Arabidopsis thaliana: one gene and its partners. The protein of the gene in region 3 interacts with the protein of the main gene of each other region in a pairwise test. Each region holds a gene or a part of one and is shown on either strand. Other genes may lie near its edges. The genes, in order: AT4G39050, AT2G21830, KAN and AT1G01440.

Region 1 (5,049 bases), on a different chromosome or scaffold from region 3:
ACTACTTAGCTTCGAGAAGCAGGCACTATATATTTATCGCATAACGGTATTTATTTCATTCAATAATCTTTTTGTTGCATAAATTTACAAAAATTTGAGTGTGTGATGTGTACATATTTCTGACGAATACTTTTTGTTGCATTATCCAAATTTTTACATGTTCCCGAGCCGAGAGTCTAAGACGACGATTTCCAAATTATTGTCGTTGCTGTTATTATAATTGTTAATAATAGTAAGAATTATTATTATTATTTAGGACACGCAAGATTCCACATGATACTGCTTAAGCACTACGTCGAGCTAAAATGAAATACTCGATTTAAATGAACTACCCCATTAGTTACTTGAAGATGAAACGAAACAATTTGGTTTTGGTCTTTTGGATCATATAGTTAAACGTTATGTATCTTACTCAGTTTATTTTAATGAAGTTTGTTGTTTGGTATATCAATTAGCCTTAGATGTCAAATCAAAACGAAACAAAAACATGAAAATTCAATTTGGCGTTAAATCAAAATAATAATTAATATTCCATGGATAATTAATATACACTTAGCAAATTACCGAAGTACCCTTGCTATCTCGTTGTCGTCAATAATCAAAATTACAGTATTAACCCAATTAAGAGCGTTTAGCGTCTACGTGTAAAGCGGTATCAGGAGAAAGGAGCAGCGATCACATGGGTGGCTTAAATCTATATCCTCCGGTTCCTCACCGGCCAATTATTCTCGCGCGTGTCTCCGCTCCTCTCTGATGCGCGTCACTCAAAAAGTTTGAGTCAAACTCCAGTAATATTTTTGATTTATTTTGTATTTTCAAGAATTTCTTAAAAATTGCTGTTACGTAATTTACAATGCAATGTCTCGCGGTAAAGGTAGAGCCGGAACTCAAGTCAGATCAATCTCCGTGTATGATTGTGTTCGCATCCAATGTTAATAATTTCAGGATTTGTATTTTCCAAGTTAAAGGATACTATTGTTAACTAACGTATATGCTGACAAAAAAAATAAAAAAATAACGAATATTATAAATTTATATCAGTCGCATAATGAAATGTGTAATTTCACCCAGACAAAAATATCTCTACAGAACAAAAAAAAAACGTTTGTTATATATGTTTATTCTGTATATTTAAAATGTAGTCTAACGTTTGTTCTATATGTCTACAATGTGTATTTATATTTAAAACATATTCCATCCTTAATTTGCTTTATATTATTGTTACACCATTCATAGTAATGGAAGAAATATCTATTGGCATTCTATACTTTATGATATATATATATATATGAACCAAAGTATTGTATGTCCAACTGGGACATTTTATATGACGGCGGACGAATAAAGCTTAGCAGATATATATGTACGTGCTGGTAACTCCATATTCATTATTTTGGATTTAAGTTGTAACTCCATACACAATACACATTGATGGATTAGCATTGCATTTTTTTTATGGCATTTTATATCAAAAGATTCTCAATCAAAACTTAGATAGATTCCTAAAGCTTGTAATTAAAGCATCAAACATATTTGTTAACCAGTTATTATTTTTGAAATCGAGTAGTGTTTTGTTGATGCTACATATTATTCCATCATAAAAAGAAAATTAATGTGTGTGTAAGTGTGTTTGAAATAAGTCAATATCTTAGTACAGTAATTAACTAATTATACGAAGAAGAACTATAAGGGTAAAAACGGTAATTACAGTATTTGGTCAGCCATAGTTATTCCCGCTCGTCTCTTGAAAAAAATTCAAACCGGTAAACCATTTTGGTCATACACGTTACAGTAACACGGTGGTCTGGTCTTCAATAATAACCACGTCAGCAGCATACAGTAAAAACTACTTTAAATGTTTTTTTTTATTCTCACCCAAGAAAATAATTTATTTTTGTTTTGTCGTTCTCCTTCCTAAATAATTTTTCAACTACCACAATTAATTTAAAAATTAAAAATAGAGTATATTTGGAAAGGCACAAAAAAAAGAAACAAAATTCAAAATCTGAAATTTCTCAGCCTCCTCGTTTCTTCACCCAGAGGAGAGAGAAATCTGAGGAATTCGATCTTCGCTTAAAGAAGACGAAACAATCTCTCTCTCTTTCTCTCTTCAATGGTCTCACCATCTCTGTCTACCATCTCCTAGCCAAAGAAGAAGACGAGAAGAAGAAGAGAGGGTCACAACAATGCTTTATTCTTCTTATGTCTCCAGCCATGTGAGCTCCCACTGACACATTCTCTGCATCTTCGGAAGTTTTGTTTTGGTTTGATTCTTCTCACCGATTCCTGCGACCGAGTTTGACCCTCGAGTTTCGAGGTTAGTGGATGGCTTCATCCTCATCGAGAACTAGAAGCAGTAGACCTCCAAGTCCCGCTTCTTCCACTTCTTCTTCTCATCTCAGCAACCGTCTCATTCCTCGTTCTAACTCTACCTCTGCTTCCTCATTGATTACCTCCGCCGCCGGAATCGCCTCCCGATCTATGACGCCTAGTCGCACCTTCTCCGACTCGGGCCTTATCGGCTCCGGCAGCTTTGGAATTGGATCGCCTGTTCCCTACCCGTCAGAGGAGCTTCTCGGTGACCCTATGGACGATACTATTAGCTCTGAGCGGGATAGTATCTCCGTCACCGTTCGTTTTCGTCCGTTGAGGTATGCTAGATCTGATCTCGCCATGGACCAGATCTATTGCAGAGATTACAGTTTTCATGTAGATGCAATTGGAGTCAATTCTTTATTGGGGTTTGCAAATTCAAGTTTTTATCTTTGTGGGTTTGCAGTGATAGAGAGTATCAAAGAGGAGATGAAGTTGCTTGGTACCCTGATGGTGATACATTGGTTAGGCACGAGTATAACCCACTCACAGCTTACGCATTTGGTATTTGGTTCACCTCTCAATTATTCTGAATGTTTTCTTGTAATCATTGAGTGAATGTTTTCCAAATTTGTTTTGATGCCAGATAAAGTTTTTGGACCACAGGCAACTACTATTGACGTTTATGATGTAGCTGCGAGACCAGTAGTCAAGGCAGCAATGGAAGGTGTTAACGGTAAGTAACATTGCTGCAAAATTCAGCTTTACCAAAATCTGTATCTTTTATATAGAAATATCCTCTAAACCAATTGGTCCGCAAGTAGTATTGCTTGCAACATATTTTCTGACTCAGGGTTGGAATTTTGACAGGAACCGTTTTTGCTTACGGTGTTACTAGCAGTGGAAAGACACATACAATGCATGTAAGGGTTTTAAAAAAGAAGAATCCTTATACGCCTTTCTCTCTAGTTTTTCTTCAAAACACATGTGCTATGAATTGGGATCTCTTCTTCAACTTGGTCCCCCTTTGGTATCTGCTGGTTATTCTGGGTTACTCTAAACATTTACATGGTAGCAAAAGATACCATACAAATACCAACTTGCCATCATTAATTGGTGATGGTTATGTGAGTTGGAAATCCTCGTATGAATGGAATTTGAAGGTCTTCATTTAGATTGGCTGTGCTTATCTTTAGTGAAGTAGCTACGTTGGGTCTTTAGTTCCCGTCCAAACAAGTAGAACCTAAATCTGATGTTCTTTTTGTTCTGCCATTGGTTGCTTTTGCAATATGCATAGGGTGATCAAGAATCTCCTGGGATCATACCGCTAGCAATAAAAGACGTGTTCAGTATCATCCAGGATGTAAGTGGTCTTAACGGGGTTCATGTCTTTTCTCATCTCATCACGACTTTTTTATATGATTTCATGCTCGCTAACTGGCTACATTTTTATATTTCAGACTCCAGGAAGGGAGTTCCTGCTCCGTGTTTCATATCTTGAAATATACAATGAGGTAAGTGGAACTTTTTATCCTTGATATATTTACTTGGTAATCCCTGAAAAGTAGATATTTTTAGATTGGGATATGTTTTCTAGTTCTTCTGCCTTATCTTTGAGAACTAGAATGCTTAAAAATATAGAGAATTGGGTGACTGTTCATGATCTTCTTGGTTTTACATGTGTGCTTCTATGTTTCAGATATCCGCAGTTTATCTGATAACCGTCTTTGTATCAGGTGATAAATGATTTACTGGATCCAACAGGCCAAAACTTACGTGTTAGAGAGGATTCCCAGGTTTGCTTCAACCTCTATAGAATGCTTGGCTTTCTCCCATTTCTCTCTCACACACGCACACACATTGTGCTCTACTAGAATAAATGTGAACAAATTAGCTTAGAATCACATGTGAATTTGATATCATTTGAGAAAAGATATTGATTCGTTTTGCGTTTTGTTTTTCTAGGGCACTTATGTTGAGGGTATCAAGGAAGAAGTTGTTTTGTCTCCTGGCCATGCACTATCATTCATTGCAGCTGGGGAAGGTTATTAGATAATTTAACCCCTGAAACATGTTTTGATTTTGTCAACTCTGTCCTTCCCGCCTCTACTTAACATTGCTGTTGTTTTTAATTGCAGAACATCGTCATGTTGGTTCAAATAATTTCAATTTGTTGAGCAGCAGAAGTCACACTATATTTACACTGGTACGTCTTCATGCTCCAAGCTCCAAGAGCTTGTCATATTGTAATTTGTAGCCTCTTTTCAGTGTCTCGGCATGATGTTTTGCTCTTACAAGGTGTCCTTACAATGTACATGTTTTGAAGTCTAATTTGTATGTGTTTGCAGATGGTTGAAAGTAGTGCTACTGGAGATGAATATGATGGAGTTATCTTTTCTCAACTCGTAAGGGCCTCTTTCTTTTTGTTATTGTATAAGATCAATTAGTTTTGAAAATGGGACCTAACTGTATATTTTCTTGTTTAGAATTTGATTGACTTAGCTGGATCTGAGAGTTCGAAAACTGAAACAACTGGATTGAGGAGGAAGGAGGGTTCATACATCAACAAGAGTCTTCTAACTCTTGGAACTGTAGGTGTCTATTTTTGATTCGAGCTATCTTTCTATTTTTCATCTGTTTCTTTAGACATTTAAGGTTGGCATGTCCATCAGAAGCTTTGTTACTGAATAATGATGAACTTGCTTACAGGAGTAACTCAATTAGTTTCCACATTCC
Region 2 (4,885 bases), on a different chromosome or scaffold from region 3:
ACAGAAGAATGATTGTGTCTGAGATTTTTTTTTGTATATGCATGCAAAGTTCATTATGTTGTTTGAAGTCTTTAATGTGTGTAGTCCTGACTCGTTTTCTAAAGAGTAAAGATAATGATATATTTTCTGGCAAGTGGTTTTGAGTGCTTGACTTGTAGAGTTGCAATTCTGTTTTCTTCTTTTCATTACAATTCTGTTTTCTTCTTTTCTTTTCTTATTGATGATGAAAAGCTACTCATACTCATAATCAACAGGAAAAGCCTTCGCCGTTGTACTTGAAAGTTTTGTATTCTTCTAGCAAAGTTACCATGAGATCAATAGATCAAGAAACCTCTGGAACCAACAACTTGGAAAACAAACTACAGTATGACTTTTACATAATCAATCACGCTCATGAAAACTAAAAACACTTTTTCTCGTTTTGGCTAATTGCTTCAGGTAGGTTAATGATATATGGCATATGCATGTTATGAAACCAGTCCTCATGAGTGCTCTTGATAAATATCCATATTGCAAGATATGTGGAGGAAACATACTTGGTAACCCATGGAAATGTGAGACCTGCCGCTTCGAGACACATCAGTACTGTGTGGAGTTGGGGCGACCATCAAGACATCGATTTCATCAGAACCATCCTTTGACACTGTTGACAAAGTATCCTTCACAGGAAAAGATGAAATGTGACATTTGCAGAGAGAATATATACGATTTCAATCTCTTCTGCCGTATATGTACTTTTGTTATCCACATCAACTGTGCCTTGAAAAGTAAACATGTTCTTGAAGCTTTAAGGCAGAAATTCACTGGAACTTGGAGTTTTTGTTTGGGAAAGCTGTGTCATGTATGACGTGTGAAGAGATATATCATCCTGTGTATTGAGAGCTACCATACTGGTTCTGTCTCAGGATTCAACACATGTTATTTCCTTGTGTTGTTATAAGTTTAGGTGTTTTACTCTTGGTTGGTTTTGTGAAGGTCCTATTTGATCTTGCTTCTCTGTTTTTTCATACACAGATCCTATTGGTTTTTTAAGAGGACACAGTTTGATTTGGTTCATAATAAAGAGTCTGAATGTTAGGTTTCATTGTTTTCTCATAAAAGACTTTTATTGATTAGTTTTCTACTCAAAACATGTTTTTAATATTACATGACTATGACAGGACCGTATCTGAACATATTTTACAGAGACCTAGCCGGTACCGGTAACACCAAGATCCTGCTTCTTGTCGTCTTTACCAGCACCAAAGACAGGTCCGCCAAGACCAGCAGCATCAGAGACCTTGTCTTGAAGCTTGTCAACTTGAATCCCACCTTCGTCTTCCTTTGACCTTATATCAAGCTTCGTCTTGTTCTGTCCTCCTTCCACTGACTCGTACGTTGTCGCCGTTCTTGAATCCATCGGCTCTGCTCCTTGTGCTCCCGACATCGTTGATGATACCGATCCTTCTTAACTCATTTTCCCCTTTTGTCCACAAAACTTATTTATGCCCTCAAGCCATGGTCTTAAAACCTGCCACCTTGCCAAGACGTGGCAGTTCTTCAGAAGTCTAGACCTATCTTGTTGGTCACGTGTCGTAAGTTAGCCAAAAGAAGTCGTCTTTGACCCTTATCATCTGTTGGATTTATGCTTCTTGATATGTTATCGAACATGCTTATGAATAAAGAACTGTCTAGTGAAAGGTACTTCACACTGAGAAGACTCTTCATCAATTTTTAAGTTTCATATTCAATAACAATTTTAAGTATCATTATTACTTCAATTACCATAATGATACCAAAAAAAAAAAAATGGGCTCAATAGAATCCAATTAAGCATGGTCAGTAAACGAAATAAAAAATATTAAATTTTCCAACCACACCACGTTGAGAAACAATTATTGAGCCACTAATTTATTACTCTCTCTCTCTCTGTCGACCTCACAATTAGTTATGCTTTTGGGATTTTGAATCATGAAGGTTCTTTGATCAAGATTACTGTGTTATCTAATGGTACTCTTAGATCAAGATTCCAATCTTGCTTCTTCCCCATGGGAAAACTCGAGCATTTCTCCCACTCATGCCCTTTGACCTCGCCGGAGATTGTAGCTGAAGGCATCTGCAACATTTGCTTCCAAGACCAAGTTGTTGAATACGCATGTAAGCCTTGCAATTTTGATATATGTAAGACTTGCTCCAAGCTGCCGCAAAAGGTGTCACATGGTTTTCACTCAGATCATCCTCTTGAGTTTTCTCTATTCCAATATGATCGAAAACCTGGTTACATTGTCTGCTCTTGTTGTGGGAACATGTCTTCTTGCTCATTCTATGAATGTAAAGAATGTGAGATCTATCTTGATCTCGGTTGTGCACTACTGAAGAACGTTTTCACTGGTTGGGACGTTAGAGAAATGCTTCATTACAGTCATGAACATTTGCTTCGAAGGTGTAAACCAGGACAAGATGCTAGAGGCTCTTGCCTGCTTTGTGAGCTCCCTCTTTCTCCCTCTTCTATATGTTACGGTTGTGTTTACTGTTACTCGTTTCTCCACGAGCGCTGTCTCGATCTTCCGACAGAGATTCGACATCCCGTGCATCTGGAACACCCTCTCAGACGCCTTGATTACATACGAAGTGGTGGTCGAACATTTTGCGGTGCGTGTAGAGAGAAGATTGACAGTGTCCCCTTTGGCTGCCTAGAATGTGGTTTTTACATTCACATGAGGTGTGCAGATTCGTTTTTGCGCTGTCTGATGCATGAATCTCATGAGCATAAATTGTTTTATGTATCTTCGAATGCTAAAGAACATTTTGGAAGAAACAATTGTTGCCAAATATGCTTGGGAGCTGTAGTGAGCTCTCTCGATTCTTACTACCACTGCATCGAATGTGAATTGGAGTTTCATTTCGAATGCCTTGGGATTTCCAAGACCATTTCTAAGAGATCTTGTCACATTCATCCACTTGTTTGTAAAAGAGTACGTGAAGAGGATGATTCTTTGGAGTACTGTGGCGTTTGCGAGACATTGATTCATGCCGGACATCATGTTTATTCGTGCGAAGAATGTGATTTTCTTGGTCACATTGAATGCATTCTACGCGAGGTAATCAATATCGTTTTTGTGTTTTTTTGTTTCTTAATAATGATGCAATGCTGATGATCTATATCTACAAACTACAGAAAGAGCCATCACCATTGTACTTGAAGGATCTGTATTCTTGTGTTGAAGACGTCAAAAGAGCAACAAACCAAGAAGACTATGAAACCAACAAAGTTATGGTATGGCTTTATAATTATCTATCAGTGGAAGAAAAGTATGAACATCATTTTAAGCCAGCCTTTTGTCTCAAACGTGTAAGGTATATGTTGCAGGTTCATGATATCAACCATAATCATGTGGTGACATCGATTGATATGTGTGAGCTTGAAGGCAAAGAACATTGTCACATATGTGAAAAAGAAATACTTGGTAATCCATGGAAATGCGAGACTTGCAACTTTGTGACACATAACTTCTGTGTGGAGCTAGGGAAACCATCAAGACATCGGTTTCATTGGAACCATCTTTTGACACTCATGCCAAAACCAGTTGCTACGGATATGACGAGTTGTAAAAGCTGCAGAGAGGATATAAAAGGGTTCAATCTATTTTGTCGAATATGCAATTTTATTATCCACGTCAGTTGCGCCATGAAAGGTAAACGTTTTCTTGGGATGACAGGACCGAAAGTCGTTGGAACTTGGAGAGGACGTTGTTTGGGAGGCAAGCATAGAATGGTCCAAGTTATGTTCCCGAGGTCATATCAAAAAGTTTGTATTATTTGTCATGAGAGGGTGCTTGGGAAGGCTGTGTCATGTATGGAGTGTGAAACGATTTATCATCTTCGGTGTATTGACCGACATCGTATCAAAGACCGTGATTCTTCGTAGTTAGGTTGTTCCTCCTCTGAAACTAAGTTCTGCAACTTCTTGTTATGTTATATACCTCTAAAATTTTGTCGGTTAGTAAATCATGTTTGTAATATGTTTATTTGCTCTGTTTATTTCTTGTTCTGTTTTCTTTGTTTTTGGCACACTATGTATTTTCAATCCTCTGTTTTGGATTCCATTATCGTTTTTCCAGTTCCAATGGTGTTTTTCTTATGTAATCTTGGTGACATAATACACAAAGTTCAGTGTTTCCATTGGAAAAGCCAGCGGCCCCTGCAGGTGCAGGAGTTGTTATGAATTGTAACATTTGCATGAATGATATAGAAGGGTTCAATCTCTTCTGTCGCCTATGCAATTTTATCACCCATACTATACTAGTCATAGGTCACCAATATATTGTCTGCTCTGGTTGTGGGAATATGTATTCTTGCTCATTTTACGAACGTGAGGTCTATCTTGATCTTGGTTGTGCCTACTGAAGAACATTATCACAAGTTGTTAGAGAAATGCTTCAGTACAGTCATGAACATTTGCTTCGAAGGTGTAGACCAGGACAAGACGCTAGAGGCTCTTGCCTGCTTTGTGAGCTCCCTTTGTCTCCCTCTTATACATGCTACGGTTGTGTTTCCTGTTACTTGTTTCTCCACGAGCGTTGCATTGATCTTCCAACAGAGAGTCAACATCGCGTGCATCCGAAACACCCTCTTAGAGGCCTTGATTACATATGAAGTGGTGGTCGAACATTTTGTGGTGCGTGTAGGGACAAGATTGAAAGTGTCCCGTTTGGTTGTCTAGAATGCGGTTTTTACATTCACATGAGGTGTGCAGATTCTTTATTGCGCAGTCTGATGCAATGAAACGGAAAGTTTCAGGAATATTTCCAACCAACTAACAAACAAGTCTTCCGCTGTTTCATGACAAAGCTCCTTCCCTCGAAAACTCGTCATGGGAGGCAAATTAAGGCTTCTCAGGAATCCT
Region 3 (7,633 bases):
TCTCTACCGCTACAGTTTCTGCTGTCGTTTCTGTCTTAATAGCTTCAGGTTGGTTATATACTCTGCTCTGATTCTGTTTTGGAATCTTGTAATGAGTGACACTCCAAGTTACTTCCTATATGTATTGAAGAATGAAATGAATTTGGTATTGGATCAGGTTGGATTGGGTTTTTCTATGCGGTGTGGTTGGGAACAAGAGGAAGCCTACGCTTGGCTAAGCAATCGGTTTCAGTGGTGGGATCAGCCATTTCAGGTAACACTATCAGTCGTCATCAACACCAAGACCGGGAGGTAAACATCGAATCAACCAACTGAGAATCCGTCCTTACCGCGTTTGTAAATAAACCCCGACTTTTGGTTGTTAATGGAAGCTTGATATAAATATGATCTATGGAGTTTGTTGTGAAGAAGCAGAGAAAGAATGATAAGAATATTTCAAAATGCAACTTGAAACATTTTGTGATCAATGTCTACGGATTTTTGGATCTATGTATGCATACATTGTGTGTTTTATGTACTTAAGAAAGAATAATGATCAGTATCCATATGAAATCTCAACTCAGATCTCTCCCTCTCTCTACATTTCGGCTGCAAAAAAAAAAAAAAAAACTTGAAACCCTCTAGCCAACCAAGAGGCTTTCAAAAAAATATCCAAACTTTCACCACATTTTGATGATCTTCCAATTATATAACTTATGATCACACCACCAGATCAACCTCAAAAAACTAAAAACCCGAAAACCCAAAAACAAAAACTCATACATTGATCATCCACTTTATAATCAAATCATCAATGGAACTTGAGAAGAGGAACCTCCAAATTTCTTCATTTTGGTAGTGATATTCTCTCTCTCTGTGCAAAAATCAACACTCTTGAGCAGCTTGGCTCTCTACGTGTTCTCCTTCTTTTACGCTGAGAATTTCATCGTCACAAAGATATATACTGCATACATGTTTCTGAGTATATATAGAGAGAGAAAGATGAAACAAAAAAATAAAAAATCCAATATATATAAAAATCCAAATTGATCAAGAAAGTCATTTCTCGTGCCAATCTGGTCTGCCTAATGTAAACTCCAAACTTGGATTTTCACAACTAAGATTTCCACACCTCTTTGCTTGATCATTCGACCTTTGCTCCTGCCAATTTTAACTTTATATTAGATTAAAGGACAAAAAAAACACTAAGAAAGGCAATATCTATCTATACAAATATGATTAGATGGGAATTATCAGAACCTGATTTTGAATGCTGGATCTTTGATAATGAGAGATCATTGATGTTGATGAAGTTCTGATCATTGTATCTATGTCGCTTGAGCAGTTATTACTTAATGGCCATGTCTCTCTATTTTATGATTTAAGAAAAGAAAGAAAACAAATTAAGGACAAATTGTATTTATTGATGTATAGATGCCCTAAAAATAAAATAAAAATCACTACACACAAATTGCGTTTTTTTGCAACTTGCTATATGACCACAATCTACATGTCATACTTATGAAGCAAAATTCGTTTATCCTAGTCTTCCTAGATGAATCTTAAGAACCCAAACCAAATTATAATTAAAAAAAAAAACTTGGTACATATAATTAAAGTTCATCAGCCATAAACCCTAACCAATTTCATCTCATTGTAACCAAAACCATCACTCAAATTTTTTCCCCTTAAACTGAACGAAAACAAACTTAAAATATCATCTAAAAACTATTTTTGTTAGAAGAAAATGGATAGATGTGGGATAAACCAAACAATTGTCGTATGAATTACTTGGTAGGAAGTAGGAACAATTAGGTGAGAGAACCCTAAACCCTATCTCAAATTTCGTCAATCTTATTCTTACCTAATGTTTATATATACTTATCGTGTGTATAATACATGTACGTATATACGTAAACGTACCGTGAAGAGTTACTCCAACGAGGTTGTGTGGAAGAAATGTCAGTTTCTTGATGAAGAGAAGTATCATCAGATTGTGCCCTTTGATCCGTCGATGATTGATGATGAACTTCGTTTCCATTTATGCCCATTTCTTCTTCTCCTGACCCATCTGAAATTTTATTTTAACTTTTTATCAAGTTTCGTTGTCTCAAATCAATCACTTATACCCTATAAGGAATCTCATTTAAAACTGAACGATTCTTGTAAGCTTTTTTGTAAAAGACAATGCAGTGAAGAAATTGTTTTTCTTAAAAAATAATTTCAGCATTTCGTGTTGACCAACCTAATATGTGTCTCAAAAAATAGTTTTACAGACTCGAAAATTGTGCCAAATAAACTTTTAATTGGTTAAAGAAAATCCATATGAAACAAGTGGTTTTTCTTTATTCTTAATTCATGAACTTTGCTTGGATATGAGTTTACACTTCACACGTTTTAAATTTAATCTTTTACTCGATTTTTTTTTCTTAGAGAACATCAATATTGGGGATATATGTTTGTTTGGTTTGCTTTGAACTTTGACCACTCAACTTTAGGGTTCAATCAAAGGAAGGATAAAAGCCTTGAGCTTGACCAATATCTTAGGGCTCGTTTTTTATTATTTTGGGGAAAGGGAATAGTAGAAATAGTAGAATCAAATAGTAAAAATAACAGAAATAATTTCACGTCATTATATCTCTACATACATACAAATATCGAATCACAGCTTCAAATTCTGATTGAGAACTAATTTCTTATAAATATTGTAGTCAAAAAAAGCTATAATAGTGATTATATTGGACCTCCATTTCTATAAAATTCTGGTGGAGAATCCTAAGCTTTATTGTATATCTGTCTTATGTTATTTTTTGGTGAATTGTATATCTTTCTTATTAAAAGCCAGTACCATTTCTTTAGCATATATAAAGCTGAAAAAAGCTATACTAAAGAAATGTGAATATGCATAACATTATATGTGTGTGTGTGTGTAAAGGAATCACACGTACCTGATGAAGCAGCAGGCTTGTTAGTGGTCTTAACAGTTCGATACATCTGCAAAAAAAAAAAAATTAAAGGCATGATGAGAGCTCTAAAACTAGAATAAACCATAAATCCAATTAAAGACACAGGAAAAAACCAAAATAAATATCGGACAAAAGATACTGATAAACTAAATAGATTTATTTTTGTATAATGTGATACAGAATTACAGATGACAAACTGGAGAGATATATGCAGACACATATGAACTTTATATTATTAAATAAATAATATATGTAGTACATATGTGTGGTTTTCTGGGTTTGTCTTGGAACTGATGATGTATATATAATTAATTATTTATGATTTTAAGACCACGAGGTTGATGTCTGAAAGAAGGTTGAGTAATAGAAAGATTGTATTATTATCATTGAGTAATGATGACTACTTTTGTCCCCTCTTCCTAATTTAAAAAAGAAAAAATGAATTATAATCCAAAATAACTTCTATCTATCATCTCAATTCTCCATTGTTTAATAATTCTCTGAAAGGTTTCAGTCACTTAAAGCTATAACTACTCTCTCTTTTTCTCTCTTTAAATTCATTCAACTGCTTCAATTTTCTTGGCAATTGTGCCATCTCTTCCAAAATATGACTAAACTTAAAGCAAAGACAAAACAAGAAAATAAAAGTAACACATCAGAATTGGAGCTCTATTCATTGCTCTGATGATATATACGTACACAAAAACCTTGTTTCTTGATTCAGCTGTTTTTGTGCAAAACGCAAAGGAGAAGAGAGTGACATGATGGTGATGAAAACTATGAAATATCCCTAATTATAGAAAATCTTGATTGGTAACGAACTAACTCGACTAGATTAAACCTAAATTAACAAATAAAAATTGATTCTTTGTTGTGTCTAATTTAATTTCAAATAGAGTATAGATTATACCTGCAAATGGCTCTTCACATGTGCTAAAGTTAAGTCTTTTACATCCATGAGCTCAAGAACCGACTTTGGAGTTGCTCCTAGAATCACAACAACAACAAGAATAAAAGATTTAAGACTTTGAGAATAAAGTGAAGAAAAATGGGAATGATCATTAGAATGTGATTATGATATAAATGTGTACTTTCATGGCCGCCTAGAAGCTCAACAGCGTGAACAAACCGCGCGTGGAGGCTACTAGTCCAACGCATCCTTGGAGCTCTCATGCTTCGCTTTGTCGGCATCTTAGGCAAGAATCTTGATCTGATCATCCCATGATGATGATGGTTATGGTGATGAGGAGAAGACGAATCTGAAGATCCAACGACTCCATACTGATTATGATGATGATGATGATGCAAAGGAACACCTTTAAGCCTCGGGGAAGATTGTAATGATCGGTAAGCGTTGTTGTAGCCGGAAGATGAGTTTAAGATTGAGATTTGATCCATGTCTCCTCCTCCAAGAGAAGGTAATGAAGAGTTTTGTTGGTGGAAAGGGAATGAACGGTTGTGATAGACCGGGATGCCTCTAATTGGACGGTGGAGATTACTAATCTCGGATTCATCGACCCTTTGATGAACACCATTGATGATAGGGTTGTTGTAATGCTGCTGATGAGGAAGATTAAGGGTTCTTCGATCAGGACAATGGAAGATTCTTGCTGTTGGATGGTTATGATGAGATAAAGAGAGTTCAAAGTTGGACGATCGGTTGTTGTTTTCGAGTTGGGAGGATCTTCTTGAAGATTCTTTAGAAGATTCATTGTGATGGTATTGATGAATATCTGGGAGACTGATGTGGAGAGATAGATCAGGGAGAGTAGTTGTTGTGTTTGTTTTGGTTTTCTCTAGAAAAACACCTTCCATAGACATAATTAAAGAAACCTTTCTCTTGCTATTGCTGCCACTGAAGTTGTTGATGATGATAAGGATGATGATGGTGATGATGATGATGACTATTCTTTTGTTTTTTTTTTCTCCTGAGGGTTTTGCTTAGGAATTTAAAATGATTTTCTCTAAGGAGAAGAGAAAGCAGAGAGATTCTTTAGGCAAAGAAGTCAAAAGGGTGTCTGAAAGATTTGATATTTTTTTTGTTCTCTTTCTCTCTCTATATCTCAGAAAGAAAGGAGAAAGTGAGAGAGATGAAGTTAAAGAGAAGCTTAGAAGAAGAGAGAGAAGTTGAGTGATGATCTTCTTGAAGAAACAAACATGCTCAAAGTAAGACGCAGAGAGAGAGAAAAAGAAGGAAGAGAGAGATAGAGAGAGGTATGTGTGTTGTGAAGCAAAGGCAGAAGAGAAAAAAGGAATAAAACTAAATCCAGGAAAATTAAAAACAGGTAAGAGAGAGAGATATATGTGTGTTCGTTCATGTACATGTATGTGTATGTGTATGTGTGAGATGTTGTTCCTCGAGAGTATATCTTGGAAAACGATAGTTGAGAAAGGGTAATATTGTCATTCGCTATATTCCAAATATTGGAAGCTTTTTATTTTATTTTGGGATGGTATTTCAATTTGTCTTTTTCACCTTTCAACAAGTAAACCCATCTATCAATATAATATAAATTATTTTACGGCTAGATTAATTGATTTCATGTTTTAGTTTATTCGTTTAAACTACTGAAATTTTGATTTCCATAGATAAAGTTGAAGAATAATAGCAAAATAAATCTTGTTTTCTATCAATTTAGTAGATGAAATTTTCAAATGTAAAGTGTATTTAATAATCGACCAATTTCATAGATGAAAAGCATACAACTTTTAACAATAAAAATTAATACGATTATCATCCATTAAAACCTTAACAATTTGAGTAATAAATCAAAAACTCAATTGATCTTTAAAATAATAATGTTCACAGATTATCATGAAGAATAATAATTAAAAATGTTGGAGAAGAGTACAAGAGGAGAGAGAATAAAGGGTCGCTCTCTTCTGTCCTATCTAATCTATAGTCAAAGCAAAAGCCAAAATTAAATTAAATAAATAAATAACAAGAAGAAAAAAACAAACACAAGACCTATTCTAAAATAAATAAAAAGTTTCATTATAACCAAAAAAAAATAAAATAAAAAAAGAGAGAGTGCTTTGATTTTGGTACCCCGGAGACGACGGGATACATATGTTGAGACTTGAGAGAGAGAAAGAGACTGTGTCCTCTCTGACTCCTTTTTTATTTTCTCCCCCACTCTCTTCGCTTCTCACTTCACTCTCTATTCACATCTTATTATAATAATTCCTTATACGATTTTGGAATCAAACAAATTCAAGTTTCTGACCGTAGATTGTTCAACTATACCTAAAGAGATAAATATACATTAAATATCAGTACGTTCTTGAGTTTATGAATAGCTCGTATAGACATTTAGTTCCTAGAGATGTGACTACAATATCAACCGGCTACTTGTTTGACCGTTTTGTGTTGTCTATCAATTAGAGCCAAATCGAAGTCATATACATGTCGCTTTAAAATACGTACTTGAAAAGAAATAAAATTAGGCAGATTTATATATATTTTTGACTTGTTTGTGTCGAATGTAATAATGTATGCATTCTAGTGTTTCTGTTTTCTTTGTACTCGACATTTTTACATTCACATTGTTCGTTTATAATTCTACAAAAAAAATTATGGAGTTGACTTTATCTACTGTGAAACAGAAATATGTCATACTGAAAAATAATGAAAAATATACAAAATTGAATAGTATTTAACTATTCGTATGTTTTTGTCAAAGAATTATTATATTTTTTTATCCCACTTTTAATTTGGAATATATAAACTCTGTGTTTTGCCTTCCAAAGGTACGGAAATTATTGTCTTAGAAAGTATCTTTCTCTTCAAATACATACATATATGCATACGTGTGTACAATACAAGGTGCCCTCGTACGTATATAAACCAAGTGTCATATAAAGAATTCGATCAATTATTGTAACGTAACATGCATGCTTTTAGATTATACGTGAAGTTAAATATATATTAGACCTAAGAAAATACTCAGCCAGAAAGTGGATTTTGTTTGTTTCCCTTAATAAACAAAAACAAGTGAACCCTAAAGAACCTAAATATTTGCTTCTAATTCCCTTTTCATTCTCCCAAATATTCCTTCTCAATTTAATAACTCTTTTCTAATTTTCTTTAAATTGTCTTCTAAGAAAAAAAATAAACTATTCACTCCTCACATGACCATATCAATACAACATCTCGACAAATCATTAATGCCTTGAAATAAAAATATGATAAATTGTAAGACTATGTTTATATATCAGGAAATTTAAATAAGTGAGATTTTATTCGTTGATTATACAGTAATATATATTTTTCTTATTAGATATAAATTTTAATTATTGGAAAGTAAAGAAGTACAGTATGCTTGCAGTTTTTAGACGTTTTGCTGCATGTGAGTTAAACAAGATACTATTATGATCTATTTAAAAAGCATTTTCAATCAAAAACAGTATAACAACCCTAGCTATACTTCTAACGTTTTTGAATGAGGTCCATTCCTAATTTTGAGTTAGGTTTCTAAAACTCCTAGGATACACTTAATTTCTTTTATCTTTAGTTAATGGTACAAGGAATTGAGTTCATTAACTCCTATATTCCAAACCTAGCAATGTACTCATATTTTCGTTTTCTGAATGAGTCCCTCAACGAGCTACATTTATACTTTTGAAAAATGTTTTTTTTTTTTTAAAACCCCTAGGCTTACCCAAAGGATTGTCATTAATTAACAGTA
Region 4 (5,993 bases), on a different chromosome or scaffold from region 3:
TTTGTGGAGAGATATTCAGAAGAAGAAAATAATCTAATGATTAGGCATCCATAATTGTTTTTAAAGTTACAATTATACAACTGTAAAGCGCGAATCGTGTACTTGTTGTCTCTTTAAACATGATTAAGCCATTGCTATTACGGGTGACATGGTACCATTAATTATTTCCAACGTAGACAGGATTACAGTAATCTCTACATTTATGGAAATTAGGTGATTAGTTTGTATTTGTAGTGTCTATCAAACGAAACTCGATAAGGATGGTCCTACAGTATTTATTGATTAATTATCACTTATCAGGAGCAAAGATAGAGACTTGTTCTCTCTCTCTTTTTTCAACTAAAGACAGAGACCTCGCACTTAGATTTAATGGTTGAAACTTGTAACTAAAACTACTTGTGAGTATATAAATTAGTATCTAGTTTATGCTTTACACATCTAATTAGACGAAAAAATATATTTTGTCTTCTGATAACCGTGGTAATTTTCATGCTAATTTTGTTTTAAACGTTCTATCTAGAGAAAAAAAAAAAATCGTTCTATCTAGACGGTAGAATTAGTTCTCGGTGATTTAAAACATAAACTAATCTTTAGACATGAATTAGTCGTTTTAGACAGACTAGATTATCGACTCTGTTTTTTTATATGGAGTAGGGTACACCACGACCACGAGGCCCATTGTGAATAAATTATTCCATGGGCTTTAAATATTTGCTACGTGGACCCATCTTACTTGAAGTTGATTTTGGATCTACCATACCAGTGTGTTTTCTTTCTTGAAAACGATTTAACAAGTACACACAGCCTGGACAGATCTATAAATATATACATTTATCTTTTGTCACAAAATCAAACAAATATTATTTTATTTCCCAACAGGCAACAGGTTATCCACAATAAAAAATGATCAATTTACATAAACCAGATCACAAGATATAAAACCATACGGTTTATCTCTTAGACAAAAAAAAAAAAAGTAAGAGAAAGAATGGAACATTGTAAGAGAACCCCCAAAAAAGAAACTAAACCCAAAAACAGAATAGCAAATAAGTTTTGGGTCAGAATATAAGCAAAGATGTGTTATATATCAATCACAAAGAATAATTTACAAATCAGAGAGGTCAAAACAAAGCTGACGAAGCTTCACGAGACTAATGATCTTGGAACCCTCATGCCAAATCCATGCTTCACCTTGTCAACCCTGATTCAATTTTCAACCATAAAATTTCAGAATCAACTAAATGATTGATGTAAAAATTTGATTACATGGAATTGTGTTGTGCTTACGTTGGAGCTAATCTGCCAAGACTCTTAAGTTCTTCACCAGAGTCTCCATCAAGAACTCTTCCTGCTATATCAATGATGTAAGAACGGTTCTTGCCTCGAGGAAGACCTCTACTTGATAGTAACTCTAGGTCTCTCTCGTGAAGCTCTCTTCCGTTTACAAACACACTCGTGTTTCCTGCACCGCAGTTATCCGGCATTGGTCGACTAAACTCCTCTATAAATGGCTGCATCAACCAACAATTGTTTCCCATTTCCTCATCAAGTACCAATCAATACAAAGAATTATGAAACAGTGTACTGGAATTCAAAGCAATATAGAAGAGATGTGAAAGTTCTTACTGGTATTATACCGAGACAAGGGTTTCCCATCACTCCCCAGAATCCAGCACGGTAATCATACCTGGTCAGAATCATAACATAAAGATGGTTTCTTGAACGACTGATCAATTCTTTTGACGTAGATTTATCAAAACGTAACCCCAAACATACCAGTATTTGCCAGCTTGAACTGGCCCAGCTTGTTTCTCAGCGCTAATAACCAGATCTTCTGGTATCAGATACCCATTCACCCAAACCTCTAGCTGCTCGTTGTTTTGGTCGTTAGAACTGATATTATTTGTGACCTCTGCGAAACTGTGCTCACTACTCTGCTTTCGGTTTCTTGGTCGTCTCCCTTCTTTGCTGGCTTTTGAGATCCTTGAATCTTCAGACTCCTCGGTGTTAGTATAGTACTCATTATAAGAAACATCTGTCTCAGTAGCTACTGATTCTGATTTCAGGGAGTCTTGTTTCGTGTATGATTCTTGCTTATAGTACCCTAACTGCGCCATTCCGTAAGTGATTGCAGCTCGGTTTACATTAGAATACTCAAAGAGCTCAAGAAGATTGGACTTTTCCGGAGGAGGAGGAGGAGGAACCTTCGCGCCTTGGGCTCTGCTGCGAACAGACTTGACGACCTGTTTCCGCGGCTCACTAGAAATGCTTGACCTGTCTTCATCGTTTGAGTGATCACTAGGCGATACAGCATGGACAATTTTCGTTTCCTGGTGTATTCTTGGTTCTTCATCATTGAGTGGATAATCATCTACCACAGGGATTGGTGAGCTTCTATCTTCAACCTCTACAGAAACCCGGTTCGTAGTTTCCCCCAGGGCAGAAGATGAGAAAACAAGCTTCTTATCAACAACTCTGAACGTGATAACCTCAGAACAAGCACCACATTGCATCTTTTGTTGCCTTTCCTGACCAAGAAGCTTCTTCTTAGGCACATATAGCAGCTCAAAGCAACTGTGACAAGCAATAAAAGGCGCACCGCCTGCTAGAGGATGGCAACGACGTGAATCAGTATCAGACACAGCTTGTTGAACATACCCACGAGCAAAAGCACCACCCATTTCAGAATCAATTTCACTAGGCCACCTCGTGTGAACACCACCATGTGGACTAAAGGGTCCAACTTTCTCACCGTGGTGCAAAGCCGGGCTAAATGGGACATCACCATACCTACTTGGCGTACCCGGAAAGAATCTAGGGTCCTGTAACTGTGACTCAAGTATATCAGAGCCAATGTCTACATACTGTCCTTGAGGATAGGGTGGACGAGGCGGCATCTGATTAGGGTAATGACTTGGTCCTTGATAAAAGTTTTGAGGTATCCTATGCACTGGGAATCCATAAGGGTCTCTATAAGCTGGAACATGAGGTTGGTTACTCGCGGTAGGATACATTCCATAAGGAAATGGCTCAGGGTATGGATTGTAATAAGAAGGAGGAGGTCCATGATGGGCATGGAAACCCATTGGTGGCTGATCAACAACAGTAGCATTATTACCTCCACCACGGAGAAGATGATCTTTAATAGAATCAAGCTTTCTCAAAAGCTCGGCTTGTTGTTTATCAGTGTACTGAATTGGGTTGTTTCTGGTGGTTGTGTTCTTAGAAGAAGAAGAATCTGAATCAGTCTCTTCCTCCTTTCTCGAGCTCTTGACGAATCTCTGAGAACCAGGTCGTGAATTCGAATCGTCTAGGCGATTTCTCATCGGGCTAGTAGCGGATTCATTGAGATCCTCCTTAAAGCCTCTGTCTTCATCACTTCTTGAGGAACCAGTATCTGCTCCATAAACGTCACCGCTTGTCCTCATCGGAAAAAAAAAACAAAAATTCTCCGACGAAGACCAGCTTCTAGGGTTTTGCTTGTTTAAACTGCAACAGAAATAATAATCCTTGAATTCAAACAAAATCCGAAATTATCAACAAATTCTCTAATCGAATCTTCTCCAATCCGCGAATAGTAACATGGTAGAGCAAATCTTAAAATTTTCCTAGAGACTAGTTCAAGAGTTTCCATGATTGCACAGCATCCAAAACGGGAAAGACAAGACAGAGAGATATAGGAAAATCAAACGCACCTCGAAGAAGAGTGATTCCGGCGTCAGTATTATGAATATTTTTTGGGCAATTTCTTCGTCTCCGGTGAGAATCAAGCTTTTAGTCTCTTTGACGCAGCCATTTTTTAATATTAAAGGAGTTTTGTGAAAATTTCAGAGGAATTTATTTAAATAATCAAAAGACTTCGAACAATAGCTCTACTTTTCTTGCTTCGTTTTCCCGGGAATCTACCAACTAGGAACAATTAGATCGACAATGGAGTTTAAGAATTTTGACATATCTAGAAACTATGAGTCTTACCAGGTCAAGTTGACCAAGAGATAACGTGACGACCAAAAATAATGCAACAAAATAAAAATAGTAGTAACTAATGAATTGGTTGGATCGATTCGAATTTAACTGCATTTGAAAGGTGAAAGTTAAAGTACCAAATTAGGTCTTTGATATATTTGTGTCTCGCTGCTCCAAAACCAACAATACCTTGAACTACACACACTATTCATCATGGCCATGGTGGGTTTAGTTTATAACGATGAATGTGTACGTATTTTATACATGTATTGTATAATATTATCTTGTCAAAATAGATGGTGTGCCATGTTCCCAGACGTGCTCATAACTTGAATTCTTTTCATCATCATCATCTTTAAAAAGTTTAGAGATGTATTTTAGTTGTTGGAATTGTATTTTATATTAGGGTGACAATGACAAATGTTATAGCTGTAAAGTATTTTTTGTACAAATCAGCTGCTTAGTTTGTTTACTCCACTTGCTTATAATGTTATATTTGACAAATCTGTTGGTATTAAAATCATAATAACGTACTTATCACCAAAAAAAAAAAAGAAATCATAGCTTCATTCATCTAAAACTAGAGTGGGGACTTTTTGGTCATATCACAATCAATGACATAATAAAAGCGTCGGAGGATGGATGTGACGGAGTCGGCGGTGGCGGAGATATTGAAATTGACGAGAGACAGAGCCAAAGCTCCGAACCACGCCATGTCTCTAGTCCCCGGCGGAATCGCTGTTCCCCTTTTTTGTTAAGGTAATTTTCAGGCAGATTAGTCAAGGTTCCTTATTTTTGATGTTTTTATCCACATTCGAAGCCCAAAATTTGATTAGTGTAATTTGATGGTGTTTGATAGATTGTAGAAATAGTGGAGCAGGCCTAGTTTACTTCACTTCAGCGTTGAGCCTCTACAGTCTAGGCACATAATTTTGCCTCATATGATTTGTTTCCTTTAAGATAATATTGTAGCTAGTAGCTACTGAATCAATCAGTCACTAGCCTGAACAATATACGAGCCTAGTAGTATCTGTAGGAAACTTTGAATAAAGAAGAATTTTATCGTTTTCGATAGATATGTAGTGGAGTGTGTGTCACCACATACGAGTTAGTATGTCTTTTGACTTGTACAGCATTTTGAACTTGCTATTATGAACCTATTCTTTTTCCCTGCAGACTAGGAAAGCTCAGAGTCAGAGGCATGTCCAGAGTTTGATCGTCGTATCCTTGGGCTTATCAATATCAGCTGACTCTCAGAGTTTGCTCTCATGCTTTGCCCACCACAAGGGCTTAGTGGCGGATGCCTTGATCGTCCTCTCGGAGTTGTCCCTGAACAGAATCCAAAGGCTAGTGACACAAAACAAAAAAATTAGTACAAGTAACCAAGTTCATATTTGTTAGGGAGCCTATATATATATATATATATTGGCTGATGATAATCTCACCTGGTTTTTGAATTGGTTTCAGGCTAGAAGCTCTTTTCAGAAGATTTGAAACCTGCTTCTTGCTCATACCAACATCATTTGAGGAGCATGACAATCTTCTTTCCTTGGCATATGACAACTGCTCATCTGATCCTGCCCCACCCTCATCCTCGCTACACGAAGCCCATTCACTTCCTGATTCCGATGGTTCCCGGAGATTATCCTTTTCACACGTTTTTGCCCGTTCCACAACCCTATATGCAAACATTTGAAAAGGAACCTGTGAAACTTTGGTTAGCTCTGTAGATTCCCAAGAAAGCTTCTGCAATAGCTTTGTCTCGATCTCGCAGTAATCCACAGTAGGCGCAATGGACGGGTCTTGTTGGCTACTACTGTAACATTCCGGGTTCAAAGCTAGAAACCGTTTGATATACCGGAGAATTCTGCTTATCGATGAGAAAGTTGGACGCTGATTGGGATCAGCATGCCAGCATCGTTTTGTCAGGTTTGTTATGAACTTTGGTGAATTAAATGGAAAAAGCGGTCTCTCCCCGGCCCTAATGTTTCTACTCATCTTATCTCCTTGCAGGTGGCTATCTTCAA

The links.
Region 1: the proteins of KAN (region 3) and AT4G39050 interact in a two-hybrid assay, tested with the Arabidopsis thaliana proteins (one large-scale study listed by BioGRID).
Region 2: the proteins of KAN (region 3) and AT2G21830 interact in a two-hybrid assay, tested with the Arabidopsis thaliana proteins (one large-scale study listed by BioGRID).
Region 4: the proteins of KAN (region 3) and AT1G01440 interact in a two-hybrid assay, tested with the Arabidopsis thaliana proteins (one large-scale study listed by BioGRID).

What each region holds. Positions count from the first base shown.
Region 1 is NC_003075.7:18,191,137-18,196,185, forward strand, and holds the start of AT4G39050 (Kinesin motor family protein), read left to right. Parts: upstream 1-1,938; 5' UTR 1,939-2,325; coding exon 2,326-2,651; intron 2,652-2,779; coding exon 2,780-2,877; intron 2,878-2,959; coding exon 2,960-3,049; intron 3,050-3,183; coding exon 3,184-3,236; intron 3,237-3,610; coding exon 3,611-3,676; intron 3,677-3,773; coding exon 3,774-3,827; intron 3,828-4,049; coding exon 4,050-4,109; intron 4,110-4,278; coding exon 4,279-4,357; intron 4,358-4,451; coding exon 4,452-4,519; intron 4,520-4,661; coding exon 4,662-4,718; intron 4,719-4,799; coding exon 4,800-4,904; intron 4,905-5,049.
Region 2 is NC_003071.7:9,301,794-9,306,678, forward strand, and holds AT2G21830 (Cysteine/Histidine-rich C1 domain family protein), read left to right. Parts: upstream 1-1,919; 5' UTR 1,920-2,027; coding exon 2,028-3,080; intron 3,081-3,157; coding exon 3,158-3,256; intron 3,257-3,349; coding exon 3,350-3,907; 3' UTR 3,908-4,232; downstream 4,233-4,885. Other genes in the region: AT2G21810 (Cysteine/Histidine-rich C1 domain family protein), read left to right, coding at 461-847; AT2G21820 (seed maturation protein), read right to left, coding at 1,190-1,426.
Region 3 is NC_003076.8:5,406,327-5,413,959, forward strand, and holds KAN (Homeodomain-like superfamily protein), read right to left. Parts: upstream 5,441-7,633; 5' UTR 4,767-5,440; coding exon 4,037-4,766; intron 3,933-4,036; coding exon 3,856-3,932; intron 2,974-3,855; coding exon 2,928-2,973; intron 2,051-2,927; coding exon 1,903-2,050; intron 1,349-1,902; coding exon 1,240-1,348; intron 1,141-1,239; coding exon 1,039-1,140; 3' UTR 537-1,038; downstream 1-536. Other genes in the region: AT5G16550 (voltage-dependent L-type calcium channel subunit), read left to right, coding at 1-48, 158-315. UniProt on the Arabidopsis thaliana protein: Transcriptional repressor that regulates lateral organ polarity. Promotes lateral organ abaxial identity by repressing the adaxial regulator ASYMMETRIC LEAVES2 (AS2) in abaxial cells. Required for abaxial identity in both leaves and carpels.
Region 4 is NC_003070.9:158,792-164,784, forward strand, and holds AT1G01440 (hypothetical protein (DUF3133)), read right to left. Parts: upstream 4,163-5,993; 5' UTR 3,696-4,162; intron 3,490-3,695; 5' UTR 3,429-3,489; coding exon 1,777-3,428; intron 1,688-1,776; coding exon 1,627-1,687; intron 1,512-1,626; coding exon 1,288-1,511; intron 1,202-1,287; coding exon 1,144-1,201; 3' UTR 837-1,143; downstream 1-836. Other genes in the region: AT1G01450 (Protein kinase superfamily protein), read right to left, coding at 5,314-5,993.